Schizosaccharomyces pombe: one gene and its partners. The protein of the gene in region 1 interacts with the protein of each later gene in a pairwise test. Each region holds a gene or a part of one and is shown in the gene's direction. Other genes may lie near its edges.

Region 1 (5,319 bases):
ATTGGCTTAGTAGGGACCTTTTTAATATCCAAAAGATCATTGATGAGAGAGGCCGGCTCAAGCTTTTGACCAATTAAAAATAGAATGGCCATCATACATCGTACCTGATGCCATAAAAATGCAGTTCCTTGTAGGTCAAAAGCGTAAAGACCGGTACTGGGATCAATGCAAATAACCTTTGAACTGAGAATTCGACGGTGATAATTTGTAATTTGTTTAGAAGCATCTATTTTGCAAAAATTTCGAAAGTCATGCTCACCTAGATAAAGTGCTGCGGCTTCATTCATTCGATCAATGTCAAGAGAACCACCGGGATAATCCTTAGTAAACAAGTATTTATAATGACGCTGTTTACAGGAAAATCGAGCATCAAAGCCTTCTGGTGGAAATGCATAGCCAGTAATACGTATATCTGCGGGCAACAGGCGATTCAATACATCACAATATATGATAGGTCTTCTTTCTGAATGTCGTACATTTAATGATATAACCTGACCCATGGCTGAAACTCCCTTATCAGTACGTCCACATCGACTAAAGGAACATGATGAAGGATCAGTGATGAGATGAGCTCTCAACAGCGCTTCAAACACCTTTCCTTCAACAGTGGGCAAAGGAGTCGGTTCTAACTGGTAGGCAAGACCATTGTAATTCCAACCACAATAGGCAAATTTAAAAGCAACAAAAACTGTTTTTTCTAGTTGAAACGGTCTGACAGGTTTCAGTTTTGGAAGACTACTTGCGTCCTGAAGCGCATGTTGCAAAACTAGTTCTTGGCTCAGATGCTGGGGTTCTATTTCATTTCCATTATCCAATTTGTTTTTATTTTTAATTACTTCATTTTTCCCCTCAATTTCTTTATTGGGAAGTGAATTTGTATTTTTTTGCAATTTCCCGTCCAATTCTAAAATTCTGGATATTAGCTGGTCTCGAGACCATCCAGCATATTTGGAGGCGGGCATTCGAAGGATTTTAGAAAATTGAAAAATCTTGCCTGAATTATATTGCCAATTTAATTACTGCCTTTGACGAGGTCAGGTGGCAGACGAATAGGTTCGCAAGGCTCTGATAATTAATGACTTGCTTGTCATAAGAGGCAGACATTTTCGCAGTAAAGTTATAAATCATCTATGTAACATTGAGAATTTATCAGATATATTTTTAGTTGCTCATTAGTACAACAGCTTTGGGATTCTGTATGGTCAGTTTGCAGTCTTGTTGGGCCAGCTGGAACTGTTACTAAAATATTGAGTTCACTTTACATTACGAGCAATGAAAATTATAGAAGCTTAGATTAACACAGCTACTTTCGAGATGATTCGTATTCCTTATAGTTGCATTGTAGACTTCCAATAAAGAAAGTGCATTTCCCGTTATGCAATTGATTTACTAGATAGTTCTTTAATATCAACATTATTGAAAATCACCTCTTTGTTGAGTCAACTCAATACTTAATATTTTTTTAAAGAATAAAATTCGCTACTGAATGTCGGTTGCTAATGAACAAAGCAATTGCTTCTACGAACTAATTTGTTAATTTTTTTTACTAAGCATTTCAATAGTTTGCCTTGTTAACGTATTTTTTATGTTCCTTGACATTTTTAATTTTAGTTTCTTCGTCTGCTACTAAACACGTTCACCTAAATCAATACTTGTTAAATTTAGCTGCAACACCGACATAAAAATTTATTTCATTACCTATAGTTACATTGAAACCGGTAGAAGGTTGTTTTTTGGTTCAAGAGTGACGTTTCGCTTATATTTTTTTTACTTATGTCGTTTTTAAAAAATCTCTTCAAGAAGAAATCCCCAACTCATGAATTATTCCATCCTTTATCGCGTTCTCCCTTAACGGCTCTTCGCCGTCGCTCTGAGCATATCAAACAAGTCTATCGGTGTCCAATTTCGGGAAAGTCAGTGGAATATGAGTGTCCTGAATCTGGATTTCCTACTCATTGTAATAGAACTCATTGGGAACAGGACAAGATTCACCAATCCCTTATCCCAAAACTACGCCAAATTAATGAAGACTATCATGACTTAGCACGACCAAACCCTTTGCCGGAACTACTCAAACTTCCTGGACCCATGGAAGAAGATGAAGTAGTTTCTCTTCTGTCATGGGATTCATTCTTCTATACCCGCGATTTCCCAAAGTTCCAATCGTCTAGAACTGCTAGACATATTACTAGTTTATTAACATATCCCATGTCAATCGGCGCTATCCTTCACAAGAATTCTCCTTATAATTTAAAAAATGGGTTAACTCCCCAGGGTCTACAATCATTAACTGCTCTACGATATATGCTTCATCGTCCTTTGTCTGCTCAATCTACTGATCCCAGACCCACTAGAATTTTCGTTTTGGGTGCTACCAAAGAATGTTCATTACCACCATCAATTTGGTTACAAGGATTGAACTTTTTGTTCCCAGGTCGTTTATTTCAATTGCATTTTATCGGACCTGAAGTTGTTGTTCCTTCTAAGCAACCCAATTTGCCTTCCCCACTCAGCCTTCATTTTCATCAGGATTACTACCACAATTTGCATAGAGTTGGAGCCTTTGAGCCTTTTGACCCCTACTATGATACTTTTTTTCTTCCGATGCCTCTTATAAGTCATCCACTTTATTCTTCATCGTGGATTCCGACACTTCACGATTTGGTATCGACTCGTTGCTCTGTATGGCTCACAAGTCCTTCATCTCAAAGAACAACCAAAGATTTGGAAGTTCTTAATAATGTTTTGAAAGATTCAATTGAGCCCTTGTTATTGCCAACTGTTAATAAATTTGCCAGCTTAGGCTGGTCTGTTGATGATTCAAACCTTCATGAAGTTTATCACGCAAATCAAGAAGTATTTGGATTCAGAGCCCTTTATTATAATGTCCAAAATGTTTCCAAAGAGTAATTCTTGTCCGTTAAGTCGTCTACCATCTTCCAATTTCATATTCTAATCTAAAAGCAATCTATTAATGAATTTTAAGGTCCAAATTTTGGATTGTGAATAAACAAAATATTAGTATATATGTAATGATTATCAATTACGAATTTTGAAAAGAAGACATGCCACCTTATGTCAAAACAAGCTAACCATACTTATTTTTAAACATTTTCATTACTACTTTAAAGGTGTATCAATAAAATAAATTTATTGGGTGTCAATTCTTTAAATTGGAATGTAATTAAGTAAATAGTAACTATAATTATGGGTTTATAAACGCAATATCAATTTAAATAAAAAGAAGATCAAAAGCAAATGGGTTAATTTAATTAATTCATCACATACAAATGATTATTTAGAATACACACATTCTCATACTAACAATAACTTATATCAGGGATAATCCAGCGATTAATAAAAATTATCCCGATTTATCCTGTTTAGAGGGCCTCTCCAACACGAACATATTGGCCTTGATAAGTGGAAAACTCAAAGTCGGCAGGTGCTTCGAATACCAAAACAACGGTACTTCCGAGTTGAAACCCACCAACTTGTTCGCCACGACTAACTGGCATACCGTCTAAAACAGGAGAAGCGTTCTTGTAAACTGCTTCTTGAAACGTACCTAATGACTTCTTCCGTAAGACGAGGCGATTGGTAGATAAAGTAGGATCACAATTAATGACAATGCTACCCACATTGGTTGCACCTACAGGAATCATACTCATAAATCCATGTTCGTAACGACCCAATAATGCTACGCGTTCATTCAACACAAAAAGGTTGTGTAGTCTTCGCGCCAAAAATGGAGAAACACTAAAGAGTTCACCTGAAAAGTGACGCCTAGATTCAATAACCCAATCAGCAGGAGAGTGAAATCTATGATAGTCACCTGGTGCTAAGTAAATCACAGAGTAAAACAGCTTATTGCCAGGACGGATATTGTGCCAAGGTAATGAGTCAATGTCCGTAACGTCAGCTTCTTGTACCCAATCATCCCAGTTAGTTGGTTCGTGTTCAAGAATTGAAGCAGGAGCAGATTCAAAATCACTAGATGACTCACTCCTCAAGTCATCGTCACCTCCAAGGTTATTCAGATCGAAATTGCTTGAGGGAGAGAGTCGTTTTCCGCATGAGCTACGAACGGAATTTGAAATATCTTCAAAGGCAGAAAAGGGACAGAAATAATTTAAGGAATTACGAGAGTCATTAAGATAAAAATGCGGATGGTCAGTAAAAGCACAAAGAAGTGCTTCCTCGTCAGAATGTTCATCCACAACGGCAGCTGAAGCATCAGCTTTACGATAGCGGTTATTAGAATTTAAGGAAATTGAGTGTTGTTCAGCAAATTGCTCGTGCTTTTGAATAAGATCAGGAGTTATTTCATCCTCAAAGTTGACGACTAAAGGATTCGAACTTGATATACCTCCTAAAAGAGCTTCAAGAGAGTAAGAAAGACCTTTGACATGCTGAATTCGATTATTATCGACAACTCCCTGACAAACGATACGGCCATCTACCGGTGATACGACAGGAGAAACAGGATCAACGGGTCTAGTCTCTGGACGAAGCTCACGGCAAAAGAAATCTTGAAAATTACGGTAATGAGTCAAATCAGGATCCTTCAATTCGCTTAAATTGCATCCAAAAACCCAAGCATATAGTTTAAATCCGGGTGTACGCAAAAAAGTAGGTAAATGAGCTCTGTTAAATTGTCCCCAGACACGAGAAAGGCTCCTTAATGGAAGAGAGCTTAATAAATATACCTGCCAGGAACCATTAGGACGGACACTTATAGAAAGGCGCCCCAAGCGGCGACTCCTGCGAATGCGATGGATACGATTTGAGATCCATTTTAATCTCATGGAAACGCGTACGTTCATTCCATTTAGGGCCTTAACACCTTTCAAAGCGCCGACACCACCGAAGCCTCGAAGGTTAACTTTTGACCAACGAGGATGAAAACGACGAAATCTTTGACGAGGACGCATGTTTGATCGGTATAAATTTCCTTAGTTAGGTATGCTAAATCTAAAATTGAAAACTTGTAAAAAAAATATAAAAAGTACCTAGAAGTTTAAGTACCTTCGATGTCTATTTGGAAAATCCAGAGATGTGGAACTAAGCGAATAAATGTAGAGGTTGTGCTTCCAAGGAAAAATGTGAGTTTAAGTTTTAAAGTCAAGTCTTGTTGCAAACAAATAAAGGAATAGTAGACAAACAAAACTTCGCGGAAGACTTAAGCGAGGAACGGGATAAAGATATAAAAAGGAATATTTTCTTTTGCAAAAGGTTACCAAAAAGACAGAGTATAAGGGTGTTGATATACTCGTAGATTGTTGATGGATCGATTATTGCAAATGAAGAACAGAAGTT
Region 2 (5,225 bases), on another chromosome or scaffold:
ATTTATTCTTGTTATAGCATAACGATAATTTATTATTATTATTTGTCTCAAAGGTCATATTTCAATCAAAATCGCTGATTAAACTACAAAAAATATATATATCGTAAAACTATGGTTCGCTTCAAATCCCGATATTTACTTTTTGAAGTATTATATCCTGAAGCAAAAGAGTTTTTTGACTATCCTACTATCCCTTCTGATAGTTCTATAACTACGTCTAGTCTTTCTAAAATAATTAGAACCATGGTTGCAGAAAATTTCGGTGATGTTGGTATTGGAAAGGTTGCATCTAGTCTAACTGTAAAATATTTTTCACCTAATACATCTACTGGCATTCTGCGGGTCTCAAGACAGCATTTTCGTTTGGCATGGGCCGCATTAGTTTTAATAAGGGAATTATATGGCAAGCCTGTAATAATTCGCGTGGTTCGTGTATCTGGTACAATAAAAAAGGCAGAATTAGCTGCCATTGAACGAAATAAATCAGAAATTCATAACATCTCTCTGATGGATGAACCTATTGAAGTTTAAACCCTCCATCTTTGGCATTTGCTGGGTTCGCAAGTTTTTACTTTGACTTCACCTCTAAAGATCGAACTCAAGACGAAATTTTTTTTATGCCTTCATGTGCTTCAAACTTATATATTGATTCCTTGGTTTCGTTCCAAAACCCAATTGATGCAGTGTGTGCAGAAAGTTGCTGCTGTATCCACCTTATTTCTCATGGGTATATTCATATAAAACTTTAATTCATTAATCCAGAGAGGAGGCATATGTTTACCCATAGCTGTTTAGATTTTGAAATTGAGGATCTGGGAAGATCTAAATAACAAGTATGCTGCATTTCCATTGCCAAGTATGAGTAAACTCTTTAAACTATACAACTATTCAATCGCCAAAAAAAAATTTGATGAACTTGGAGCTATTAAGTTAATACTTTTCTCTTGGAAAATGAGATATCGTCTGTTTTGGGAATACCTTGTTTACTATTTTCATTGTATCATCTGTTAAGCTTGACAACGGCCAAAAAGAGTTGTATCTACGAATGCATACTTTTGCCCATAAAAAAATAAACATTTACGTATTGGAATGAAAAAAATCATTGCAGGTCTCAGTAAACATCTCATGAATGTGTTTTCTTCGTGGGAAGGTACATCCTTAATATATCCCAATGATTCTAAATTTCCAGCAATCGTTATCAATTTTATTTTTTACAGACAAACGAATAATTTATTTAGCTGTTGACGGATGCTATAATTCTATGTCGTTAAAGACTGTATACACTTTACAGTTTGAAAAGTTTGCTTGACATTTACCGGTGCTTCTACAAGGTCTAAAGTAAGAAAGATAAACCAAAACTATTGTCATTACAACAGTTAACAGTAGCCAAAGACAGCTATAATCCCAACAAACATATAAAAATTCCTTAAATTAGGGGATTTTCTCAAGTAACGATTTTAAAAACCAGATAACAATCCTACTGAGTCAAAGAAGCAACCATATCCTTATAACGAAAACATCAGAAATTACTCAAATGATTAACAATATCAATAAACTAATCTATCAATTATTTTCGATGAACATTACTTCTTCTTATCCTTGATTAACAGCTATGTATGCTATTTTATGATATCTTCTCTTGAAAACCCCAAAAAAACAGTCACATTAAGAAGAATATAAAGGGCACTGTGCTTTCTGCTTTTGCATAGTTCTTTCACCTGGAGTGTGCTCATCTAAATAGTAAATAGGTAAGTTTCATCATTTCACAAATGGAGATTTCAGAGGATGCGAAATATATACCCAAATTGTATAGCAAGGATAACGGGGTAATCGTTTTGGTTGCCTTCTTGCAGTGATAAAGCATTTTGTCATAGTTACACTGATGAAATTCTTCATTTGCTTAAAACTTTTTGGTCTTAAGTTTGAAAATTCTTTACTAATTTTGAAATAGATAAAAGAAGCCGTTTTTAACAGTTAGACACCATCCTATTCTTGAGATGGTTTTTTTATTCGATCCACGAGTTTTTGATAATTACCGATACTATAAATTTAATAAGAAATTAAAAATTTACTTTATTAAGTCAAAACTTGTTTACATTTAGTAGTAATTTAATTACAATTGAAAGAGTAATGTTGGTAGTGATATATATCTATGCAGACTTGTATGTAATGTAGACATTCTTTAAATCAGAGAACCGTAAAGTTCGGTTGTCCTCCTTAACTTTAGATAATGCAACCGTACATATTTTGCAGGGCTTGACTTTAGCGAACTGCATAGTCCAGTTGTTCATGGTTTGGTTAAAACAATACAACGTAGCATACTGTGGAAGTAAATCGCTCATTTTTGCTATGGTTTTTTTACTGTTAAATGCTTTGGTAATGAAGTAAATAAACTTAGACAGAAACACAAGATGACTGTTTGATCGGCTGAAAATACATACGGCAATTCTTTTGAAAATCGGATTGTATTTGTACTATACAGTATCGTATTTACTGCGACTTTCCTATGCACTAATTAATATACCACACTGACGGTACGAAGCGAATGCCTGTAATCGTGACGTTGTTCACTACCACCGATAGAATAAATGCAAACTTATCTTTAGCAAACAACTCCCATATTCTAAGACAAATAGTTCGTTCAAAAGAAAAATTATTGAACACTCAGATAATTTAATTAAGCAGTACCAAAATGTCTTTTCAAGTTCGTGTTAAGCAGAATATGCAAGATTTGGATAACAGGGTATGTTAGCAATAAGGCAGGATATCCGATGGAAGCCGCTTTACGCACTCGGCAATATAGGCTATTATTAGTATCTTGTGATTTTAGAAATTATTCTTTCTATTCAAATTTGTTTACTAACTTTTTTTTCCAGTTGGCAGCCTTTCCTCAACTCAACAGTTTGGAAAAAAATTTTGGTGTTAGCAAGCTTTATGTTTTTCTTACTGCAGCTGGTATATATGCCTTGTTCCTTTTCTTGAACTGGGGTGGATTTTTACTGACCAACCTTCTGGCATTCGCGATGCCTGCCTTCTTTAGTATCAATGCTATTGAAACTACTAACAAGGCCGATGACACTCAATGGTTGACCTATTATTTGGTAACTTCATTCCTCAACGTTATTGAGTACTGGTCTCAGCTAATCCTTTACTATGTCCGTAAGTGTTTAAATTTTTTGTATTTAGAGGCGTGATTATAAGATCATTAAGGATCTAATAAATTTTGCTCTCTGCTTTTAAATTTATTTTTTTTATTTACTAACTGGGGATTTTCCTTTTTAGCTGTGTATTGGTTACTCAAGGCTATTTTCTTGATTTGGCTTGCTTTGCCTAAATTCAACGGTGCTACCATTATCTACAGACACTTGATCCGTCCCTATATCACTCCTCATGTGATCCGTATTTGCAAAAGCGTTTCTCGTCAAAATGCCGCTCCTGCGCCCACAGCCTCTTCTTTTGCACATACTACCGCTACTGACATTCCACCCTCTATCTAGAGATTTCTGAACAAAATGTTTGGAATGGACTTGTATTCCATAGAATAGTTATGCTATACTACTCGATGAATGATTGAAAATCATACAACGGTAACGTTGTTTTCTTGTTTTTTCCCATCACAATTGACTATATTTTGGACAATTGCAAATAATTCAGTGTTTCAGAAGCTTTGCCTTTCTGAATCTCTTTCCTCTAGTTCTGATTATTTTTATTGACTGTCAAAAATTTAAAAAAATTTGGCCTTTTATATGCCGCTTTCGGCATGGACCTCGGCAATGTTGAAGGGTTTATACTATATGTATATCGCGTAGTCTTTTTGAGCAGTACAAAATTATAAGGCTGCATGCTTTACCACAGTACCGAAATTGCAATAGACATTTATTTTATGGCAACTATAGTAACTTACACACACATCCCAAAAGCAATAACCAGACTACAGTATACTTACAATGATATACCCATATTCGAAATTGCTGAAAAAAATTCTGAAGATTAATAACAAAGTACTATCTCAAAGTAACTGCCGCTTTGTAGAATTGTAATATAAAAATATCGCAATCAATTTATATTTTGTACAAATACATACAATACGTCTTTCAATAAACAGTTAACCCATTATAGCGTCGTTAAACACAATAATGAACTCTACCACTTTACATTGTGCATTTAAGAAACTTCGTTAAACCACATCAGTTTCTCGCTTATACTCGAAGTTTCTAGCATTACATCATGCCATGGTATATGGTCCGTCCCAGCGGGTACAAAAACATCTACTGTCTTCACACATTTTGTTTCGTTTCCAAACGATATTTAGAGTGTATTGCAACGTTTACATTCCATTAATATTTGGTCGAAAGAATAGTATTTCTTATTGACTTTACATACACTACTTTGGTACTATTTTTCTTGAAAATTCAGGAACATTGTACAATTTGAATTGTAAGGTTTTCTTACGAAATATATATAAAGGAGTTATAACACAAGAAAAGTGGAAAAATAAAACTTTCATTTCGTTTATTCGAGAACAAATAAACCGAAAAAGCTTCGCTTTTGTTTGATTTTTCGTTTCTATTTATTTCTCTTCATTTTTCTCGTTTTTTTGATTCCACCATAACGATTTATATTGTGTTTGTGTTTGATAAAGCATCTACACTCGCACTTTCCTTTTTCATATTTCACACAGATAGAAAAAACAACAATTACTACAAAACATCATGGTAGCAGATACCAAATTATACGATTGTTTGGAGGTCCGCCCCGAGGCCTCTGAGGCAGAGTTAAAGAAGGCATATCGAAAACTTGCACTTAAATACCATCCAGACAAAAATCCTAATGGTGAGAAGAAATTTAAAGAAATTTCTCTTGCTTACGAAGTATTGAGCGATCCCCAGCGCCGTAAGCTTTATGACCAATACGGTATCACAGAAGGGAATGCTGCTCCACCACCACCGGGTGCTGAAGGTGGCCCTGGTGCAGGCTTTGGCGGCTTCCCAGGCGCCGGACCTGGTGGAGCTCGAACATTCCACTTTAATATGGGTGGCCCAGGTGGAGCTCAATTTTTCAGTGCCAGTGATCCGAACGACATTTTTGAAAGAGTATTTGGTCATGCCTTTGCTGGCGGTGGAGGCATGGGCGGAGGAATGGGTGGAATGGGTGGTATGGACGATGATATGGACATGGATGGAGGTTTTGGTACGCGGACTCGTGGAGGTGGTATGCCTGGCGGA
Region 3 (4,694 bases), 2.8 Mb from region 1:
TCTGAAAATAAATTGATACAGCTAATTGAAGATATTGTTGTTTATTGTTTACTGCCCTGAATCTAAAAATTTTGAAAGTCTAATAGGTTATTTATTCAAATGTCAAATAAGGAGTTATTAGCGAAACAAAGTTTGTAACAAATGGTTATTAAGCATTCACTCTGCATGCACTATATTCACTTGATTTAAGTCGTCAAAACTAGCTTTGTGAACAAGGGGGACGGCCCTTAAAAGAACACAAAAATGATTTCGATAAGAAATGCGCTAGCAGAAAAATAATTACTAAAGTAGAAAGACAGTCAATGGTTAGAAACTGGAATGTACGAAAAAGTTAATTTCTGTATTCCCTATAAAGGGAAGGTTCGTTTAGCAAAAGAAGTTGAAGATCACAAAAACATTTTCAAAATCGTAAAAAAAAAGTTCGTAAATATCACGGTTATTAAATATAAATAAAAGAACTATATAGCCTAGTTCAAAGAGGACGTGAAATAAAAGAATTAAGTGAAAGTGTAACAGAGTTACAGCAAGTACAATTGCTAAGTGATATTTATTTGCACCCTAAATGGAAGCCACAAGTAATAACAACGCACAAAGGAGCAAAATAATAAAGCATCTGGGATACTGTTTAGCCTTTCGGCTGACCTTGTTTAATCGATTTTTTGCATGATCAAACCTCCTCTCAATTCGATCAGCATCATTATTCATATTATCTAGTAAAACATTTTGTTCGGACAATTCTGTATTCATTGCATATCCCATCCGCTTTTGCCTTTGGACACTTGCTTCGATCCCTCCTAAAGATTCTTCTTGTTCGTTGAGCATTTGCTGATGCATTTGAGCCAAAACGTTTACGTTTATGGGATCAGGGTCATTGCCATCAACCGGATACATGGCCTCCATCTCAATATCAGATCCCTCACTACTCGAAGTCGTTTTTTGTAAAGAAGGAAGGGGAGTTAACTTATTATTCGTACTTGCAACTTGCGGGTTTGCAGAAAAGGCACTTGTTCCGTCAGCAGGAATTGAGGATGCACGCCGCTGCTTCTCAAACTCTTCCTCAGCAGACTCTAACCTCCTTTGCATTCTAATAAGAAATGCTTCGGATTCTCGTACTCTGTACTCTGGGATTTGTGCATTTTTCTCTAATCGCGATTGCTCCTCATTAAGTTTTTGCAATTCTTGCCGAACATCTTTCAATGAAGACTCAATTTCTTCATCGGGATTCTGTCCAAACTCTTCCAACTTCCTCCTGTCTCTTATTTTTTGTGAAACCGAGTCAATGATCAGAAGCAAATTTGACATAGTCGCTGGTTACTTTCTTGAGTAATCATGTTCATCATGCGCCTAAAAACACAAACATTAGTGAAGTTTACAGTAATACGGTGTAATGCCTTTGCTACCAATTCTAGGTTCAATTACAGTAAATTTTGTTTGCAGCAAAAAAAGAGAATCTTTTCGTATGTTTTAAATAAAAAAAAAAGTAAAAATGATTTGCTCATTAGCTGCCAGATCCATTATAGGCATCCTGTGAAATTATCGTATTATTAGAAACCTACTCGTTATTTACACAATTTTTTGAATGCTTCTTTTCGACTCTTCTGATTGTTTTCGGTATTTATCACAAATTTAGTAGTTCTTATTTCACATCTATTAAAAGGTAATCAAGCAAGGTGTAAGGAAAACTTTTTAATTATTGAAAGTTGGTTTGCGTAGTTTCAAAATTAATCAGATAAATTTATACAGCAAGCCCAGTATAAAAAGGGGCCTAACCAGGATTCGAACCAGGGATCACCTCTAAACTCAGCATACAAGTGGGGATTACCCGAAAGAGGTATGTTAACCACTACACTATTAGGCCTAGGTTTCTCATTACAAAATATTAATATAATATATATATAAAATAATTGCGACATAATAAATGTTAAGTACCTCTTTGCTCTGAAAACTAAAATACCAATAATGACGCTTTTCTTTTCATTAGAAGAGAATGTTTATTAAAGAAATATCTTAAAGAAAAATACTACTTAAATATTTATTTAGGAGTTAGTACACTAATTCCAGAGTATTAAATCCAAGTGTAACAAGGTAGGAGTAACAAATAGTTGTTTAATTACAGACAATTAAGTACAGTAGAAAATTACTCAAATATATACAAGGCTTTGGGCCGTTTAAAACGAATCATGCTGATATCTATATTCGGCTAATCGACTTCTTGCTTTATTCTCAGTTTAAAATGGAGTTTTTTTTTATAGCGTTACGAATTAGAAATAGATGTAGCCGTCTATCAAAGTTGACATTGCACGTGAAATTATCATTATAAACATAATCAAATGAATGGCAAAGCGATCAAAATAAGAAGGAATTTTACTACGTTATAAAACATTCGGCTTTTTATTTTACTTTATTCTTTTTTATTCAGGTGCATCTGATAATAATCGCGTGAAACTTGAGTGCAAAAAATTTTACAGCCCTGTAGATCCCGAGTGAGAGTAGATCACATATAGCTAAAGGAGCTCGTATGAAACTAAGATACAAATACATTTGTTTACGAACGTTTGACAAATATATAAATTGACCCACAGACCTTAAAATTGTCAACAACAGTTGTCTCAAAAAAAAGCCGGGTCGAAAGTACATTATTTACTAAATGATAGTGTTTTTAACTTCAAAAACAGTACAAAGAATGCTATAGAAAACAAAATGCATTTTCGATGAATTGAATTATTCATTTTCTGTAAACAACAAAAAGTTGGTTGAGAATTATGGAATTCGTTATTTTTATTTACCGTATTTCAATAGTTCGTAAATATGCATGACCGCATCGGTAAGCATAGGCAGGCTTAGTAACTTGCATTTCTCTTTGTCTTTAAGCAAACATCGACTAAAATACATATTGCTTGAAAAATTTAATATTGGTTGCATACACTTAATTCACAATGGATAAAACAAAAATGTTTAGTGCCATTAATTTGGGCGTAGGTGGTATCTTCGTTTTAAGCGGATTTATCAAGTTATTTTCATTTAGCTTCGTAAACGCTTTACTTGCATTGTTCATCATCGTTTTCGGTTTGGGAACTATTGGTTTAGAAAAGGAAATTCCTCCTATTGCTATTAAATATGGATCGTTCATGTTCTCATTCTTAGGAAGGGGCTTCTTCTACGCTTTCATGGGTACTTTACTCTTTTCTTACTCCGGGTTTACTTCTTTCCTAGGCTTTTTAGTTCTTCTTGCAGGTATCGCCTACTGTGGTGCAAACTACGTAGCAGGATTGCAAGACTACGCTCCCAGAAGCATGCGTGATAATGATTGGGATGATAACGTTGATGAAGTGTAGACTTTTTTTTATTTCTAACTATATTATTTGATTCGGTTCTTGTTCCTACCCCCCTCTTTTCCCGATGTCCTCCTACATATGATTTATTCTGGATACATTCGTTTTCTTCAGGGTAGGTGTTCTAAAAGACAGTCACTTTAGCAGTCATCCTCAGAGTAGTTAATGAGTATAAATATGTATACGATCTCTTAACTATGTATAATTTTTGTATATCAACATTAGCGTAGTAGCTATGGTATTTGTGATGGGTTTTAGGGTTATACATTCAAATACCTTTAATTGTCCAGCTTGGATTCTGAACTGTCGGGTGTATCGAGGAGGATAAAAATGACATGTCAAGCTCAACAATATGAAAAATTATGATTTTTTTCTATTTCTTCACTTTCTGAGATGTATCTTGCAGTTCAAAATGTTAGTTGGCTTTACTAAAATTCTATTTTATTTCATTACTCTAATCAATTATCTTTTTGCTTTATGACCATTACCGCTTATACTCTATAGATGTTTTATATTTTTTATATCTAAATAAATATCTTAATTTTTTTGAGCTGTTGGGAATAATGAATATTCTTTCTGAGTTTCTTACTTACAGGTCTTATAGACGTGTTTCCATTGTCCATACTATAAAATTGTTGACCTCTATAGTCACCGTTGCTTTTGTCACTACATTGCAAGAGCTGACGAGTCCTCCAAATTGACAAATGCGATCCTCAATATTCCACTCAAGGCCGCTGGTTTTTTTAACATACACACTCTGTCCTACTGGCAGAAGACCGCAATGTAAACCAATGTTGTCGTGACAATCAACATGATTTATTCCGGGTTGAAGCAAAGTTGATACATTCAATTCAGTTAATAGAAATACTTCATTCTTTTCAGAAATCGAGGCGGCCCAGAATAGATGGTTTAAATTACCAATGGCATGATCAACTCTTCCACCCATGCCACATAATACAAAAATAGTATCAATCCCATGTTCTTTAATTATTTTATGGCATTTCATAAAGTCAGTGGTGTTTTGGCATGGGTCGAATACAATGTTGACTCCCATTTCTTTATAATAAGCTTTAGTTTCATCTGTTAACGAATCAAAGTCACCAACGACATAATCCGGTTTGAGCGAAGAATCGTAATTTCTCAATTGGTTAGCACCACCGTCTGCGCAGACTCGGATACTAGCTCTTTTCCATAAAGTACGAAATCTATCATCCGGTATATCTATGGGTTGATTTAATAGTAATACCGCAAACTTTTGATCAGTATCATAGTCACGTAACCAAGCCTTACATGGAGCTAGCTGATGAGTGGCTTTTTGGGGTTTTGCAGGAACACACGTTTCAGCTTTCTTTGAAGTATCTT

Evidence for each region. The genes of interacting proteins can lie anywhere in the genome.
Region 2: the proteins of mss51 (region 1) and yop1 interact in a two-hybrid assay, tested with the Schizosaccharomyces pombe proteins (one large-scale study listed by BioGRID).
Region 3: the proteins of mss51 (region 1) and tvp15 interact in a two-hybrid assay, tested with the Schizosaccharomyces pombe proteins (one large-scale study listed by BioGRID).

Annotation. Positions count from the first base shown.
Region 1 is NC_003424.3:4,158,443-4,163,761, reverse strand, and holds mss51 (splicing suppressor Mss51), read left to right. Parts: upstream 1-1,609; 5' UTR 1,610-1,773; coding exon 1,774-2,910; 3' UTR 2,911-3,164; downstream 3,165-5,319. Other genes in the region: deg1 (tRNA-pseudouridine synthase), read right to left, coding at 1-962; phosphatidylserine decarboxylase Psd2, read right to left, coding at 3,384-4,934. UniProt on the Schizosaccharomyces pombe protein: Has a dual role in the assembly of cytochrome oxidase subunit 1 (cox1). It has a regulative function on cox1 synthesis, acting as a translational activator specific for the cox1 mRNA, and it also binds to newly synthesized cox1 protein.
Region 2 is NC_003421.2:2,194,580-2,199,804, reverse strand, and holds yop1 (ER membrane protein DP1/Yop1), read left to right. Parts: upstream 1-2,604; 5' UTR 2,605-2,692; coding exon 2,693-2,743; intron 2,744-2,876; coding exon 2,877-3,159; intron 3,160-3,282; coding exon 3,283-3,497; 3' UTR 3,498-4,012; downstream 4,013-5,225. Other genes in the region: Rnase P/MRP subunit Pop5, read left to right, coding at 112-531; DNAJ domain-containing protein Psi1, read left to right, coding at 4,713-5,225. UniProt on the Schizosaccharomyces pombe protein: Required to generate and maintain the structure of the tubular endoplasmic reticulum network and the vacuole. Induces high curvature in membranes and causes membrane tubule formation. Involved in membrane/vesicle trafficking.
Region 3 is NC_003424.3:1,313,163-1,317,856, forward strand, and holds tvp15 (COPI-coated vesicle-associated protein), read left to right. Parts: upstream 1-2,862; 5' UTR 2,863-2,936; coding exon 2,937-3,335; 3' UTR 3,336-3,481; downstream 3,482-4,694. Other genes in the region: fsv1 (SNARE Stx8), read right to left, coding at 559-1,302; tnr3 (thiamine diphosphokinase Tnr3/ Nudix hydrolase fusion protein), read right to left, coding at 3,931-4,694. UniProt on the Schizosaccharomyces pombe protein: Golgi membrane protein involved in vesicular trafficking.